Cricetulus griseus: one gene and its partners. The protein of the gene in region 4 binds, or shares a complex with, the protein of the main gene of each other region. Links are inferred from orthologs where the notes say so. Each region holds a gene or a part of one and is shown on either strand. Other genes may lie near its edges.

The links.
Region 1: Timm29 (region 4) and Timm22 share a complex: the UniProt entries of both Homo sapiens proteins name them as parts of the TIM22 complex. The link is inferred for Cricetulus griseus from reciprocal best matches to the Homo sapiens genes TIMM29 and TIMM22.
Region 2: Timm29 (region 4) and Timm10b share a complex: the UniProt entries of both Homo sapiens proteins name them as parts of the TIM22 complex. The link is inferred for Cricetulus griseus from reciprocal best matches to the Homo sapiens genes TIMM29 and TIMM10B.
Region 3: the proteins of Timm29 (region 4) and Timm10 are in contact, whole or in part, in a cryo-EM structure (PDB 7CGP), measured with the Homo sapiens proteins. The link is inferred for Cricetulus griseus from reciprocal best matches to the Homo sapiens genes TIMM29 and TIMM10. Residues at the interface, in NP_612367.1 of Homo sapiens: Asp181, Asp183, Ile184, Asp186, Phe189, Leu192, Leu196, Arg197, Val199, Gln203, Leu204, Ser206, Asn209, Glu210, Leu212, Phe213, Asp214; in NP_036588.1 of Homo sapiens: His30, Arg31, Lys32, Cys33, Pro35, Pro36, Leu43, Ser44, Lys45, Gly46, Glu47, Ser48, Val49, Arg53.

What each region holds. Positions count from the first base shown.
Region 1 is NC_048600.1:89,855,331-89,859,413, reverse strand, and holds the start of Timm22 (mitochondrial import inner membrane translocase subunit Tim22), read right to left. Parts: upstream 2,811-4,083; 5' UTR 2,772-2,810; coding exon 2,534-2,771; intron 217-2,533; coding exon 20-216; intron 1-19. UniProt on the Homo sapiens protein: Essential core component of the TIM22 complex, a complex that mediates the import and insertion of multi-pass transmembrane proteins into the mitochondrial inner membrane. In the TIM22 complex, it constitutes the voltage-activated and signal-gated channel.
Region 2 is NC_048596.1:94,061,749-94,065,984, forward strand, and holds the start of Timm10b (mitochondrial import inner membrane translocase subunit Tim10 B), read right to left. Parts: upstream 2,811-4,236; 5' UTR 2,705-2,810; coding exon 2,675-2,704; intron 2,528-2,674; coding exon 2,432-2,527; intron 2,269-2,431; coding exon 2,092-2,268; 3' UTR 2,068-2,091; intron 266-2,067; exon of another isoform or gene 34-265; 3' UTR 1-33. Other genes in the region: Arfip2 (arfaptin-2), read left to right, coding at 3,824-3,922, 4,142-4,236. UniProt on the Homo sapiens protein: Component of the TIM22 complex, a complex that mediates the import and insertion of multi-pass transmembrane proteins into the mitochondrial inner membrane.
Region 3 is NC_048599.1:90,702,782-90,706,934, reverse strand, and holds the start of Timm10 (mitochondrial import inner membrane translocase subunit Tim10), read left to right. Parts: upstream 1-1,343; 5' UTR 1,344-1,494; exon of another isoform or gene 1,495-1,590; intron 1,591-1,642; exon of another isoform or gene 1,643-1,756; intron 1,757-1,904; 5' UTR 1,905-1,943; coding exon 1,944-2,014; intron 2,015-4,153.
Region 4 is NC_048597.1:134,470,669-134,474,257, reverse strand, and holds Timm29 (mitochondrial import inner membrane translocase subunit Tim29), read right to left. Parts: upstream 2,231-3,589; 5' UTR 2,093-2,230; coding exon 1,945-2,092; intron 1,854-1,944; coding exon 1,165-1,853; 3' UTR 504-1,164; downstream 1-503. Other genes in the region: protein YIPF2, read left to right, coding at 2,440-2,470, 2,800-2,957, 3,037-3,117. UniProt on the Homo sapiens protein: Component of the TIM22 complex, a complex that mediates the import and insertion of multi-pass transmembrane proteins into the mitochondrial inner membrane.

The DNA of each region.
Region 1 (4,083 bases), on a different chromosome or scaffold from region 4:
AAAAGCAAGAGACACTTACAGATTCTACTAAACACTCAGTACACGAAAACATTGCGCCCACAATGGCAAAATTTTTGGCGTAGGACATTCCTCTTTGTCCCATGTCTTTCAGAACTTCTTTTGCAGTTGGTGTCCGGTAAGGGTCCTTAGGGTCAAAGCCTACATTGGTATCAATGCCGGCAGTAAAGATCCCAAACGCACCTCCCAAGACAAATCCTAGAAGCAAGCAGAGATAAGAGTTCTTTTGCACATTCTGGACTACCATTTTGGGATGATATTTTAAGATGGCTCAATCCTGCTTCCTCCAGTCAGAGTCTATCCCCCTGACTCTCCTAGGATTTCTTCCTTTCATTTCCCAGCCTTTGAGCTTTAACCCTCTGTTCTCTATAGACCAGTCACCCTCAAGTTCTTATCAACTTTGTGTATCATTCCCTTAACCATGCCAATATCTATAACAGTCTCTTGGTAGGCATTACCACATATTCTGAAATACTCTAGATTTCACAATAACTTGTGGCTGTTTTGTTTGTTTGACAGGACCTCACTATGGAGTCCTAACTGGCCTGGAACTTGCTATTGTAGAACAGGCTAGCTCAAACTCAAGAGATCCACCTGCCTCTACCTCCCAAGTTCTTGGATTAACAGCGTGTGTCACTACCACCCAGCTGTCCTCTCTAAACCAAAGCTAGAGAGGCTAAGTAACTGTGTCCAAAGTCGCATGGCTGTTATGTGGGAAATCCTAGGTTGCTGTCAACAAATGTCTTGTCTAAACCTTGAACATTTCTTTGTGTGGGTGTGGGTGTAGGCCAGAGTTCAATCCTGGGGTGTCACTACTCAGGAACCATCCACCTTTCTTTCTTTCTTTCTTTCTTTCTTTCTTTCTTTCTTTCTTTCTTTCTTTCTTTCGTTGTTTTCAAGACAGGGTTTCTCAGTGTAATAGCCCTAGCAGTCCCAGAACTTACTCTGTAGACCAGGCTGGCCTCAAACTCAGAGAGATCTACCTGCCTGTCTTTGGAGTGCTGGGGTTAAAATCAGGTGCCACTACCCCTGGCCACTTTTTTCTTTTTTAAAGAGGGTCTCTCAATGGACCTAGAGCTAACTGATTAGGCTAGGCTGGCTAGTAACTGAGCCCCAAGGATCTGTCTGCCTGTCTTCCCAGTAATGGGATTACAAGTCATTTTCAGGCCTGACATTTATCTATTTATCTATCTATCTGTCTGTCTGTCTGTCTATCTTTCTGAGACACAGCCTATATAGTCTGTCTGTGTAGGTGTCCTGGAGCTTGCTATGTAGACCAGGCTGGCCTCAAACTCAGATCCATCTGCCTCTCTAGTGCTGGGATTAGAGGCCTGGGCCACCTCACCCAGCCATACCTGGCTTTTTACAGGATGCTGGGTATTGAACTCAGATCCTCAAGCTTGCATGACAAGCACTTTATCAACTGCACTTTGTCCCCAGCCATTTCTGTATGGATGTCTTCTCATCACCTCAAGATGAATGTAATTTCAAAAAATAAAAAAAAATCAATGTAATTAATTTCAATGAAACTAGACTCTATCTCCCCTCTCCAAAATGTCTTGCTTTCCAATCACTCCAGCTCCAAAACTCTCTCTTCTTTGTAGTACATTTAAGGTTTGCTTTTTGTTTGGTCAGTTTTTTGTTTTGTTTTTGAAGACAGTGTCTCTATTATGTAACCCTGGCTGTCCTGGAATTCACTATATAGACCAGGTTGGCCTGGAACTCAGATCTGACTGCCTCTTCATCCTCAATTTTTAAGACTTGAACTCCTGCTATTTGGATTTCACAAATGTTTTTCATTCCCAATAAAATTTAAACTCATCCACAAATACAGTCAACCTTTTTACCTGCACACTGGAAGTGTGTGTATTTGTTTGTTTTTATGTTCTATCCTACCCCACCCCGACAGTCTAATTACAGTGGCCTTTTTTTTTTTTTTTTTTTTTTTTCCCCTTAGATAGGGTCTCTCTATGTAGAACTGGCTGTACTGGAACTCACTCTGTAGACCAGACTGGCCTCGAACTCACAGGGATCCATCTGCCTCTGCCTCCCGAGTGCTGGAATTAACTTCAAATTTCTCTGACTTGAGGACCTTTGCATTTGCAATTCCCTATGTGTCTACAGCACTCTTCTGCCCGGGTCCTAGAAATTCTCTATCAGGGCTCTTGTCACTTTCATCCATAGTCCCACTGCCTAACACACGACAGTTGCTTAGTTTGTGAATGAATGAATGAATGAATGAATGAATGAATGAATGAATGAATGAACGAAAGCATCCACTTAACAATCTGCAGGCCCTGACCGTAGTTTAACTGATTCTCGAACGTTCCAGCTCCCAACTGTGAATGTTAACCCCAGGATCAAGAGCGGCATCTTCGGGTTCATTGAGCCAGTCGGGGAGCAATCAAGGTCGAGACCCACAGGTCCTTCGCCTCCCAGGCGCGTGGTCTTGGCAAGGAACCCCAAGGCCCTCCAAGCCCTCAGCCTCCCAAGGGTCCCACGAGCCTCGCCTCACCTCCCACGCAGGCTAGCACAGCCTTGAAGGCGCAACTTTCCATCGCCCTCTCGATCATCTTCTGCTCCTCGCTCTTGGAGGGACTCGGGATCCCGCCCAGGCTGCCAGGCTCCAGGAGCCGGGGCTGACGCTTGTCGCCCACCAGGTACTGCAGAAGAAGGCTGTATTGCAGCGGAGCTTCGGCGGAAGTCGCCGACTCCGCAGCTGAAGCCCCGGCACTGGGGGCAGTAGCCGCCATGACCGTAAGGGACCCAGAACCTTAAGCGTCGTACTTGCCACAGCCGATTCCACATGCTTCCCTAGGTGTCTAGCCATAGTGCCGCAGCGGCAGATTCGCCACAATGAGGAAGCGGCGGAAGCAAAAGTCGGCCTGTGCATCAGCGTCAAGGCAGCTATAATGTTCCCCCCAAAGCCTCCTGTAAACACCGAGTCAAGTTTGTAAGGCATTGCTAAAAGCACTGACAAACAAGATTCGGGGTCTCCAGAACACCCCCCTCAACGAGGTAGCTCCAGTGCGGCGCGTGCCGGGATTTGTAGTTCTAACTCAAACATCTAACTACATTTCCCAGAAAGCTATGCGCGAACTAACCCTACGGCTTCCTCAGAAGCTCTTCTGAGAAGCGAACCAAGGCAGGCCCGGCTCTGGCTAGGCTGCAGTTTGTGACGTATCCAGCAGAAGGCGTGCGTGTCCGCTTTGTTGCCCCGCCAAGTGACAGTGATCATGCTGCCTCAGTCAGCTAGGACTACAGGCTGGTTGGTATTCTAAGATCAAATAATGGTAATAAGCAAATGTTGAAACATGGCGTGAAGATGTTCAATAGACATTTTATTATATAGTTAAACCTTTGAGGAGAAAGAAGGGCCAATAAATGAGCTGGGTGGTGGTGGCTCATGTAATTTCAGCAGAGGCAGGTAGATCTCTGAGTTCGAGGCCAGCCTGGTCTGCAGCGTGAGTTCCAGGACACCCAGAGCTACACAGAGAAACTCCGTCTTGAAAAAACAAAATATATAAATATATAAATAAATATTGGGAATTGTGGTAGTTGTGATTCTGAGTCAGACCAGGCTGGCAATTTATTTGTCTCTCTTAGCTAAGCGAAACACTCATGAAAAGAAAAATCATTACAGATGCACGTTTGGTGTCTAAAATCCTCTTTGTTCTTGTTTCTGCCCTCACCAGGCCACCAAGCACGCTAAGTTTCCAGTGGTTGGTTGGTTGGTTTGGTTTGGTTTGGTTTTTCAAGTCAGGGTTTCTCTGAGAAACAGTCCTGGCTGTCCCGAAACTCCTTTTGTAGACCAAACTGGCCTTGAACTCACAGATTCCCCACCACCACATGGCTCTCCAGTGGTTTCTTAGCTGTCAATCATTTTTTCTAAACTTCTCAGCTGCATGTGACACAGGGACCCCTCTCTCCTTTGATTTTTTTTTTTAAATTATTTATTTATTATGTATACAGTCTTCTGCCTGCATGCCAGCAGAGGGCACCAGATCTCATTCAAGGTGGTTGTGAGCCACCATGTGGTTGCCGGGAATTCAACTCAGGACCTCT
Region 2 (4,236 bases), on a different chromosome or scaffold from region 4:
AACACAATATCCTGGGTCTCCACCTTCCTGTCTCTGGAAATGAAGAAGCTCACATGATGCATTCCTTACATTTATACTTGTCAAAGAGTGAATTCTGTCAGGAAGACCTGAGGTCACTCTATAGGGAAGCTCCTTGTCAGCAATTTTTATCTTCCTAAAGAATTATCTAGCAACCGTTGTAGCCCATGTCTGTAATCTCAGTACCTGGGAGGCTGAGACAAGAGGATCTCAAGTTTAAGGCCAATAGACCCCATGGCAAAATCACCTAAAATAAAAAAACAAAAAGGGAAAAGCAGTGACACACTAGAATCTGTTTTCAAAGAACTGTGTATAAGACAGAGCTCTCATGCATTCTGGGTTCTTTTTTACCTGTTAAATGGAAATAATATCTCCTAGGCTTGCAATAAAATGAATAAATAAGATAAATTTATGCAACATACTCAACAGACATGATTTTGAGAGGCAGCCTGCTGTAGTAAAAAGAATATGGGGCTTACCGCCCCACTGCACTTTATTAATAGGGTCTTGATATGCTGCCTTCAAACACAAAATTCGCAATCTGTGAAGTGCTGGGCTTGTAGGCATGCATAACAAGGCTTAGAGCAAGAGCTGTGTTTTAACACGAAGCCCACTATTTCAATTTTTTGGCTGGCCAGCTCTTGGGCAGTAGAGGCAGGAGGATCAGGAGTTCAGGGTCATCTTTAGTTATTATGATTTACATGTCAGTTTTGAGACCTCCCTCCCCAATCTCAAAAATAAAAAAGTAAAATGCATATTTATGACCTGTAGGTGTGTGTGTGGGGGGGGGATCTGCTTTGTAAATAGTTGATTTTGGCTGGGATTTTAAAATTTAATTCCTTGGTAAAAAAGGAAAGCTGTTGCCATACGTGAAAGGATGGGATGGGATTAAGCAATGAAGAGGTAATGGGTAGCTTAGGTTGTTAAGAGTCCCTGCCTGGCATGCACAAGCCCTTGAGTTGAACCCCCAGTAAAACAACAATAACAAATGCACATCCCATACTGTTGCTTGCCCTGCATCCTGCCATTATCCTTGAAGCCCCACATGGTAGTATATGCCATTTCCTCCTTCCTTCCTTGTCCTCATACTGGAGATGACATCACGGAAAAGGCAGGGCCAGGAAAGGAGGTATCCTCCTGAATACAGATGTGAACCCCACAAAATGAGGGGGCAGTAACAAAACAAGAATAGAGAGGCTGGATCAGTTACGGTTGAGAACAATGTAAGATGGAAGGTAGAGAGCTGGAATTAGGAGATTCCAGACAAACAGTGAAACACTAAGGAAGCATTAGGAGCCACACAGATTATATTTAACCACCCCTCTATCACCATCTACCTTTCCCTTTGATTTCTCTTCTTTAGATTTGACTAATGTAGGCCTTCTGACTTGCCTTGAAGACAAGAAGAAAACCCTTCTTTGTTTAAAGTCCTTATTGCTGATTTCACAAAGACAGGAAATATTTAAGATGGTAAACTGGGGAAATGATTGAAATTCTAGACAATATTCCCACATTCTTACAGGCTTATCTTTGATCTCCTAAGAATTGGTGGCTAAAGCCTATTGTGGTGCTGTTTTCTTCTTCCTCTTGTTGTCTGATATCACATTCTTCCCCTAGATGCAGCACAATTCTTTTTGTATTACAGCTCAGAAGAAAACTAGTTATTATGCAATATATATTCAGGCATTTGAGTTAGGCTCAAGGATAGCCACTGAGAGCTCCCCTTTTGGAACCAATTTCCCATTGCTATTACTAACCTTAAAACTATGTTTTTGCTGGGGATCTGAGAATGCTGAGTTTGTCCTACTACATTACAGAAGGCAATTTCTCAACTGCCAGGGCTGAGGGGAGAAGATAGGCACTAAATGGCAGAATAAAGGTTGGTACCAATAAGTGGACATAAATAAATTCCTGCCCAGAAAATCAACCAGAGTAAAAACCCGGTTTATTGGCTCCAAGAAAAGGAGCAATAGTGCCCAGCTTTCAGGCTCAATCTTTCTGTACAAATTTCGACAAGCCCAAGGTTCATAGAGGAGCCCATCCAAGCACCTTCTCTCCTGGGGCAGGCGATGGCTAGCTGCCTGATGGCGAGTCTCTGGGTTGTTCTGCAGTAACACCTGGCACGGCCGAGGCAGCCTCGTAGTCCGCGATGCGGCGCTGGACAAGGGCGGGCATGAGGTGGACGTAAGCGGCCATGAGGCGGTGGTTAGAATGGATGAGCTTCCCAGCACAGCTGTGTAGACAGGCCTCCTGGAAGGAAGACAGAGGTAAGCAGAGACCAAAAGGGGTCCTGTCAAGCCCTCCTCTCCGGGGCCCCAGCCTAGGGGTGAGGTCATGGGAGACCGAGATGCAAACGGGGGGTGGGAGGTGGACACGTCACGTTGTCAACCTCTGGGGTCCCCACAGTCCCCACCTCCTCAGCGTCCAGAGCTCGGTGGTGCAGGCTGGGCACACAGCGCTGGAAGCACAGTTCTGTCATCCGATTGTAGACCAACAGGAAATCTCGCAACTAAGAGAAAAGCGGATCAAGGCTTCACCACCGCTGAGGGTTCCTGGCGTGCGCAGTGCAGCCTGCCTTCCCCACTGGGGGTTCTTGCATGTACCCCAGAAAACAAACCGCACGTCTAACCCCGAGAACAACTTAGCTCTTACTCACGTTTCTTAGTTGCTGCTGCTGCTGCTCCATCACGCTCGGGGCACGCAGCCCACTTTACTTCCTCCCTGGGGGCGCGGAGTCACCCCGGAAGTAAATTCTCCCTAGTCACCAAGAGCTTCAAGGCGTGGTTCCAGTATCGCCCAGCCCATGTCTGCTAACGTCACCTCCGCCCTTTTGCTCTGCGACGTGGCCGGCTTCTTCTGCCCAGAGGGCACGTCACTTCCGCCGAATCTCTGACCTGCTGCTAAGATCGCGACGGGAACTGGAACCCGAGGTCCCCGCGCGGTCCGGCCCTCGCGCCCTGAGGGGAAGAGTGGCCCGGCCCAGGTGAGAAGGACATACTTGTACGAAAGGAAGTTGAATGCACGAACCTGTGCGGAGGGCAAGATGCCCTGAGCCCTTGGCAAGGATGAGGACACACCTGATGCCCAGGTGTGTGGGGGGGTGGTGGAGGGGACCTCTCACATCTGGAAGGCATAAACTGACTTTGGAAGGGACTGCCTGTGTCCTGGGAAAGAAGCTTTTAACTGACACCGGGAACACACCAGCTGCTTCAACTAAGGCCTGGTGGGGAGGGCCTGAGGGAGGCAGGTGCATGAGATGGAGAAAGGAGAGACCATTTGAAGGAAGAGGGGAAGGAACATCAAAGGATTTGAAAGACCAGGGATTGCAGAGCATGCTTGAGTGGCAAGTGAGCATCCGAGTCTAGGAAAGGGTTTTGCCTTCTGGTAAACATGCCTATGCAGGGCCAAGTTCCCAAAGAGCACAGACATTCCCCTCTGGCCCTCACTGCTGTAATCCCATTGCCTCAGTATCTGACGCATAGTAGGCACTCACTAAGTGTTTGTTGAGTGACTGAATGTGTAAAGGTTACTAAAGGTGAGGTTGGGGTTTGTGAGAAGACACCCAAGGCTTTGGTATACATGCATCTGTAGAAATAATGTACTTGGAAGAGAAGAAATACACATCTCCAGGAAAGTAGGGGCTGATCTCCAGGGACACCCAAGTCCTAACAGACAACCCCTGAAACCTATTAGAACACAGGGAAGGCCTCCTTGTTCTGGAGTGCTGGCCAGTTTCCAGAATTGTCTGTGTTGGGCTTTACAGCGTGCTGGGGTGGAGACCTTGACTCCAGTACCTTCCCTAGCCATGACGGACGGGATCCTAGGGAAGGCAGCCACAATGGAGATCCCAATCCATGGAAATGGTGAAGCTGGGCAGCTTCCTGAAGACGATGGGCTGGAGCAGGTGCTTCTGTTTGATTCTTCTAATTGTTTCAATTTAGCAATCCTGACTCTTGAATGTTTCGCTTTTCCCATCCCAATAGACTTCATTTAGTTAGTCCTCCTTATAGTTTTCAAGTCGTCATTATGATTCTATACAGACTTTACTATATACTGTCTCTATCCCCAAAATATTTCAGCCACCCCCATGTTCCTGAAGTGCCCCCTCTTCTCTGATCTATAGGACCTCCAGCAGGTGATGGTGTCAGGACCCAACCTCAATGAAACTAGCATTGTGTCTGGTGGCTATGGGGGCTCTGGTGATGGACTCATCCCCAC
Region 3 (4,153 bases), on a different chromosome or scaffold from region 4:
ATTGGGCTGTTAAGATGGCTTAAAGGTAAGGACGATTACCATGGCACTTGACAACTTGGGCTTGATGGCTCTGGACCTATGTGGTGGTGTTGTGCCCAAATTCTGAAGCCCCAAATCACCAAGAGACCCATTCCAATGCAAAAGCAAAGAGTCTTTTATTGTTTAACAAGTTAATTGTCTTAACTCTGGCCCTTTGTGGGTTCATCACATCAGGTGGAGTAAGAAGGACCCAGAGAAACCAAGTTGGGGGGAAGTGTGCAAGGGGAATGTCTAGAACTAAGCAATGGGCTTCCAGGCTTGGGTAACCTGTCCTGTGTTGGTCAACTGGTTGTTATGGCCTATAGGCCCTCCCAGGGTGGTTGCTATGCTCTGCATGGCACTGTTATACCTCTTTTACTATAAAGCACCACAAAGCCTAGAGCCCTCCAGCTAACTTCTGATTGGTTCCTTGCCACGTGGAGGGTATCTGACCTCCTAGTGACTAGGGCAGTTCCAGCATGGTCAGAAGGCCGGAATCTAAGCAACATGTGCTGAGTCAGAGGCTACATCTTGCAGGTTCTTTTCTGCAGCCTGTCATGCAGCTCAAAGCAGGGGGCTGGGTGAGGGTCAGATCCCTTCAGTGGAAGAACAGAATCAGCTCCCACAGGTTGTCCTTTGACTTCTACATGGGCCCATGGCACATACTTTTACGAATAAATCTAAAAAAGTATACCCAATGAGAGGTGTAAAAAAGACAGGGGGAAAAAATCACTATTAGCTGAAGATGTGAAAATAGAAATTGGGGGAAAAGACTTCATCGTTAAAGACAACAGATAAAGAAAATGTGGCTAAATTTTAATAAACGTTAAATCCTGGTGATAGCTATATTGATGTTCATTAGACTGTGTTTTCTTTTTTTTGGGGGGGGAGGTGTTGAGACATGGTTTCTCTGTGGCTTTGGAGGCTGTCCTGGAACTAGCTCTGTAGACCAGGCTGGCCTGGAACTCACAGAGATCCGCCTGCCTCTGCCTCCCGAGTGCTGGGGCTCCGAGTGATTTTAACATGCAACACTGACAGGCTCCTTTGGGAAAGATTCCCCCTTCTTCACACAAGAACTATCTGAGCTCGGACGTGGGCCCTCCTTAGTGCGTTCAGGAAGCCAAGCCCCTTCCACACCCCAAACACTCAAAACATCTCCCGGACAGCCCAAGGAACAGAAAGCTAACGGGGCTGCCGGCGCTCCGCCCCTCACTCAGGCCTCTGTGGCACTTTGGAGGACGCTCTAGCAAACTGAAGTCGTTTTCGCTTCGGCCAGGCGGTGGCCCCATCTCTATGGTAGCGGATTTCCCAGCGCCGCCGGGTAGGCGTTTTCTTCCGGATCAAAGAAGAGGTTGGACTTCCATCCCGGATGTGACCCACGTGCTTCTTATTTCTTCCAGCTGGGTACCCGGCAACTTTTTACTATTGACCCGAAGTTGCGGACCTCGAGGGATCTGTGACCTGCCCCAGGCCGTGGTGAGTGAGTCACGGTGTCTGACCCCGAGTGACCCCGATGATGGCATCGACATGACGGGCGCAGCCTTTGGGCCGGCTCCGGGAGCTTCGGTTGTGGTGAGGGTCGGGTTCTCAGGGCCGCGCGGGCCAGGCCCACGGTTTCGAGTGTTGTGTCCCTGGCGTCGATCCTCTGGCTGGGAGCGACGTGGAGGAACCGAGCGGTCCAGTCTCCGGGCCCGTGCCCGTGACATCCTGAGTGACCTTGAGCTGGGCACTGTCCCCTGTAAAGGCCTTATTTCCACTTCTGTTACGAGGGCTGATTACGTTTACTGAGGGCGGTGGTCCCTGCTGGTCAGAAACGCTGTCCTCCAGCCCCGGGACGTTAGGGTGAAGAGGGAGGGGTCGGTGCTGACGATCTTGTCTGCTCCTAGGAAAGACCAGGAGGCTGCTCTGCACGGTGCTAGGTTGACATGGATCCGCTTAGAGCCCAGCAGCTGGCTGCGGAGCTGGAGGTGGAGATGATGGCTGACATGTACAACAGGTAATGAGAACCACTCCACGATACCGAGTGTTGGAAGATTAGCCCGAGTCACCCTTACCATGACGGAGTCAAGGACTTGTAAGGAATGCTTTCCTTTAGGGAGTGGAGCCAAGTCCCAGCCCTCACCCTCTGCCCCACGCTCACCATGTGCTAGGCTAAACCAAATACAAGTCACTAGAAGGACTTGGCTATTTAGGGGGAGTAAGAGGGGCATGAAGGAGAATCTCCTGTTAGTATCTGGTGAGTTTCAAGAACAGGTAGTATTAATTTAAAAAACAAAAACAAAAACAAGCCGGGCATTGGTGGCGCACGCCATTAATCTCAGCACTCGGGAGGCAGAAGCAGGCGGATCTCTGAGTTCGAGACCGCCCTGGTCTACAAGAGCTAGTTCCAGGACATCCTCCAAAGCCACAGAGAAACCATGTCTTGAAAAAACCAAAAAAAAAAAAAAAAAAAAACCCAAAAAACAAAAAAAAACCCCCAAAACAGCCCATTTAATTACTTTTGTTTATGTATTTTGTGGTTGTTTATGAGTGCCACCCTGTCTGTCACAGCAGCACACTAGTGTAGGTCGGAGAACAACTTAATAGGAGCCCATCTTTCCTTCCAATGTATGGGTCTCAGGAACTGGACTCTTTTTTGTTTGTTTTTGTTTTTTTGAGACAGGGTTTCTCAGTATTTTTTTAGAGCCTGTCCTGGAACTCGATTGATAGACCAGGCTGGTCTCGAATTCGCAGACATCTGCCTGCCTCTGTCTCCCGAGTGCTGGGATTAAAGGCATGCGCCACCATTGCCGGCCGAAATGGACTCTAAAGATCTGGCTTGGCAACCTCTAATATTCTTTAAGCTTTTGTCTTTTGTTTGTTTGATTTATTTTATTTATTTTATTTTTTTGAGACAGGGTCTCATGATGTAATCCTGGCTAGCCTGGAACCTGCTATGTATACCAGGCTGGCCTTGAATTCACAAAGATCATCAGCCTCTCCCACTTGGGTCCTGAGGATTAAAGTTGTGCACATCTGGCCTTCATTAAACTTTGTGTTAGGCACTAGCAAAACATTTTACATATATTACCATTTTTAAATTGTTTTTTTCAAGTTTCTTTGTTTTTAGTTTATATGTGTGGATATTTTGCTTGCATGTATGTATGTATGTATGTATGTATGTATGTATACCACATGCCTGAAGAGGCCAAAGAGGGCATCAGATCCATTGGAACTGGAGTAACAGACAATTTTTGAGTTACCATGTGGGTTCTGGGAACCAAACCCAGGTCTTCTGCAAGACCAGTAAGTTCTCTTAACCAGGAAGCCATCTGTCTAGTACCCCCATTGTCACATTTTATTTTTATTTTTTTAATGTGTTTTTTTTAAAGATTTATTTATTTATTATGTATACAACATTCTGCTTCCATGTATATCTGCACACCAGAAGAGGGCACCAGATCTCATAAGGGATGATTGTGAGCCACCATGTAGTTGCTGGGAATTGAACTCAGGACCTCTGGAAGAGCAGTCGGTACTCTTAACCTCTGAGCCATCTCTCCAGCCCCACATATTATTTTTTAATATTAAAAATACTCACTGGGAGAAGAGGACCTAACTTTTGGCAGGGTGCTTTGCTAGAATGCAAGAAGCCCTTGCCTTGATACTGATGTGGTGCTTGTACTTTCAGCACTCAGAGATGAAGGACAGAGGATCAATAGTTCAAGGTCATCCTTGGCCACATAGTGAGTTTGAGGCCAGCCTGGGATAGATGGCATGAGTCTGAAAAAAAAAAAAGGAAATAAATTAAAATCAGTGGGTTAATTTTATTAGTGCCATTTTAACATCAGGGAATTGAGGTATCAAAGGATTTAGTAATGTCAGCATTCATAACTGGTCAGTAGCAATGTCAGAACCAATTCTTCAGACTGATCTCACAACTATTGATTGTAGCTGTTTGGCCAGTTTGGAAACAAATCCTGGTGCACCAGTCACCTGCTGAATATCTTTGGACAAACTGTCTCATAATTGATTGTATCATCAATAAAACTGACATAATAAACACTACTTCATGAAGACATTACTAATATTGAACATGGAAGCCTTTAGCATCAAGCATATCATTCAGGAAACAGTGAGACACCTGCTGGTTTTA
Region 4 (3,589 bases):
AACACTGACATCTGTTCACTTCCATATCTATCTCCTGCACTGATGGTATTACACAATGTTACCAGTTAAGAGAAGCTAGGTCCAAGGGCCTCAAGGACTAAATAGAAACTATTAAACAAAACAAAAAAATCCCAAGAAGACCGGAGAAGGGGCTGGAGAGATGACTCAGAGGTTAAGAGCACTGACTACTCTTCCAGGGGACCTGAGTTCAATTCCCAGCAAACACAGGGTGGCTCATGACTATCTATAATGAAATCTGGTGCCCTCTTCTGGTATGCAGGCAGAACATTGTATACATAATAAATAAATACATTTTTAAAAAAATTTAGAAAAAATAATTTAAAAAATGGGGTTGGAGAGTGGCTCAGAGGTTAAGAGCACTTCCTGTTCTTCCAGAGTTCAACTCTCAGCAACCTCATGGTGGGTCACAAACATCTGTAATGAGACCTGATGCCTTATTCTGGCCTGCAGGCATACATGCAGATAGAAAAGTGCATACATTAAAAAAAAAAAAAAAAAAAGCCTTGGGGGTTCAGTGCTTGCCCTGTATGTACAAGACCCCGTCTTTGATGTCTAGTACTCAACAATAATAAAGTGTACAGCAGAACCCTTTCTCCCCCCATCTGGGAAGTGCAGGCAAGTCACCCTTTGCTACACAGTAGGCTATTATGCATGGACTGTGTACACTGTGGTGGACTGGAGCTGAGGCAGGAGGATTTAGGGTCAGTCTGGGTTCTTTGGGAGTCCTAGTCTCAAAACCCAACCAAATAAACAATAACCCCCAAACAAAAAGTTCTTTTTTGTTCTGTTTTACAGTGCTGGGATTGGAAGCCAAGAACCCAGGCACGCTAGGCAAGTGCTCTACCACTGAAGTACATCCCCGTCGACAACAGGCTACCCCATACAGGCTCCTTACTAGTACTTCTGGTGGTTATAAATATAACACGGACAAATGCTTCAGCTCTTCTCCATGTTCAAGACCAGTCCTTCAGCTGTTCTCCATCTCCAAGATCAGGAAAGCTTTCAATTAGCTTCGGCTAATGAAACAGACGGAGCGAGAAGGTCTTCCCACAAAACCACACCGAGCAGAGTTTACAACCAGCCATCTCATCCGTTGCATCCACTCGTGGCAAACAGTCTGCCTGAACCTGGAGACCTGGGGTTTCATCTGGAAACCTCGGCCTGCACCAGTGAATTGGCCTCGCTCAGCGCCAGTCTATCCTTTTTTTCCTTTTGCAAGACCTGCTCTTCCCACAGCGCCTGGTCCACCTGGTCATCAGTGAGCACAATCGGCTTGTACTTCTCCTCGAACAGCCTCTCGTTGGCCTCGGAATGCAGCTGGTGGGGCCCGACGACACGGAGGTGCGCAGGCAGGTGAAGAAACTCGTCGTCGTTAATGTCGCAATCCTGCATGCGGTTCTCCAGGATCCACCAACGGCCCAGGAACCCCACGTCGAGGACCCGACCGGGGAAGTCGATCCAACGCGGCTGCAGGTAGCGGCAGCGGGCCTGGTAGAGGCTGGCCTGGGCATCGAAGGGCGCCTCGTACACCAGCGAGCAGAGCCCCAGGTTCACGTGGCGCAGCCGCCCGCGGCCTCTCAGCCACAGCAGGCGCTGCAAGAACGCTTCCGAGTGACGGTTACGCGTGGCCGGCGCCAGCAGCAGGAGGGACCCCGACGCGTCGAGCAAGGCCTCTTCGAAGGTGGCCTCGCCAGGGGCCAGGGCGCAGCACGCCGCGGCGCCGCCCAACAGCCCCACGTAGACTGCCGCGCGGCCTGGCCGGGCCCGAGCCGCCGCCGCCGCGTCTCTGCAGGCCTCGGCGTAATCGCGAAGCAGCGCGCGGGTCCAAGTGCCTGAAGGAAAGACGCCAGCGCGGAGGTGACAGCGATCCGGGCACGCGGGCCGCCCCCCACCCCCGCCGCCACCCCCGCCGCCACTACTCACCCAGTCGCGCCCACAGCCCTGGCTTCGCCGCCACCGTCGCGGCAGCATTCGCCTCTCCTCGCGCTTCACTGCGCCCAGCGGACCCGAGCCTCTTGAGAGCGGCGGTGGCCATCCTCTTCCCGCCGTCCGTTGGCCAGCGGAAAAGCATAGCGGCGGAACCAAAGGTGCGGAGTGGCTCCTGCGCACGCGCAAGGTACCGGAAGTAGTTTCTCACTGAAAACCGGAAGCCGGGCTGGCGCCGGATGTTGCCGTTGCATGAAGAGTGGGCTCTGACGGGTACGCTGGCCGCACGCACGCGCACGGAGGATGGGCCACGCCAGCTTAGGTAGCCTTAGGTGAGGAGGGCGGGGTGCACCTGGCCCAGGGCTGGTCTCACTCCAGGTGTTCGGTAGGCTCCAGGCAGGACTGTAGGCGGAAGCATCAATCCTGGGGAGGGCTGAGGGACTGATGCAGTTCTGTCCACACAGCGCAATGCGGTGACGCCTCAAAAGAATCATGGCAGCGGCTGACGCACTGGCCTTCCATGGTGAGTGGGGCCGGGAAGTGGTCAGAGCTCCTACTCCTGTCCTAGGATAAAACTCCAGGCAGCTGGGACCTAGATCCCAGCGTGAACCTGGGGTTCATCCCGTACTCAGTCAATCCCTGCTCCCACTATAAACTCAGAGGCACATCAGAGCCTCCAAGTCTGCCTAGAACCTAACCTGAACCCCATCTTAGTCGAGAAACAGACTTCTCTATGCGTCAAAATTGAAGAAACGCAGTCCTTAGGGAGTGTAGTGAGGCAACCACAGCCCGGGGTGATGGTCAAGAGATTTTCAGAATCCAAACACCTGTGCCCATTTTCTCTGACCGTAGAGTTCGAAGAAGCCACAAATCTTCTGGCAGAGACCCCAGATGCAGCCACCACTAGCCAAAGTGATGCCCTGACCTCACGGGAGCACGTGACTGTGGTCGTGGGATCAGGTATTGGCTATGGAGCCGAAGTGGTGGAGGAAGAGGGCGATAGAGCATCGGTAAGTCCCCTGGGCCCCGCATGCCATGCCTGTCCATAGCTGGGCTGAGAGGCAGCTTCTGAAAGTTTGTGTCTTGTAGCTTCTACAGGAAGAAAAGCCACAGCCAAGATTCTGGACGTTTGACTACTATCAAAGCTTCTTTGATGTGGACACCTCCCAGGTGAGGCCTGGGACATTGGTTGTTTGGGGCTCAGCCACTGTATTTGGATGGACTGTGTGTGTGGTAGGGCCGGAAGGCAAGGTAGATGGGTGGGTGGGTATGGGTCTGAAAGCCAGTGTCTTCTCTCAGCCTCCTGGGTAGGTAGGGCCACAAATGGCACCACTTGGCCTGGATGAAAGCTCCATTAATGAGCTGAAGTTTGGGTCTTGGCCCGAGGCGATGGGGAGTTATGGAAGATTTTAGAGCAGGAGAGGGATGAGTAGAATAAGCAGATACAGATGTGGAACACAGGGCAGCCTCTGCTAATAAACCACATCTACTGAGAGGGCACATCCTGGAGATGTAGGAGGAAGAACATCCAGAATTTATGGACTGTCCTTACTGTGGCTGGGAGGAGAGGCTGCAAGAAGTTGAGAGAGGGGCTGACAATATGGCTCAGAGGTTAAAAGTACTGACTGCTCATCTAGAGAAC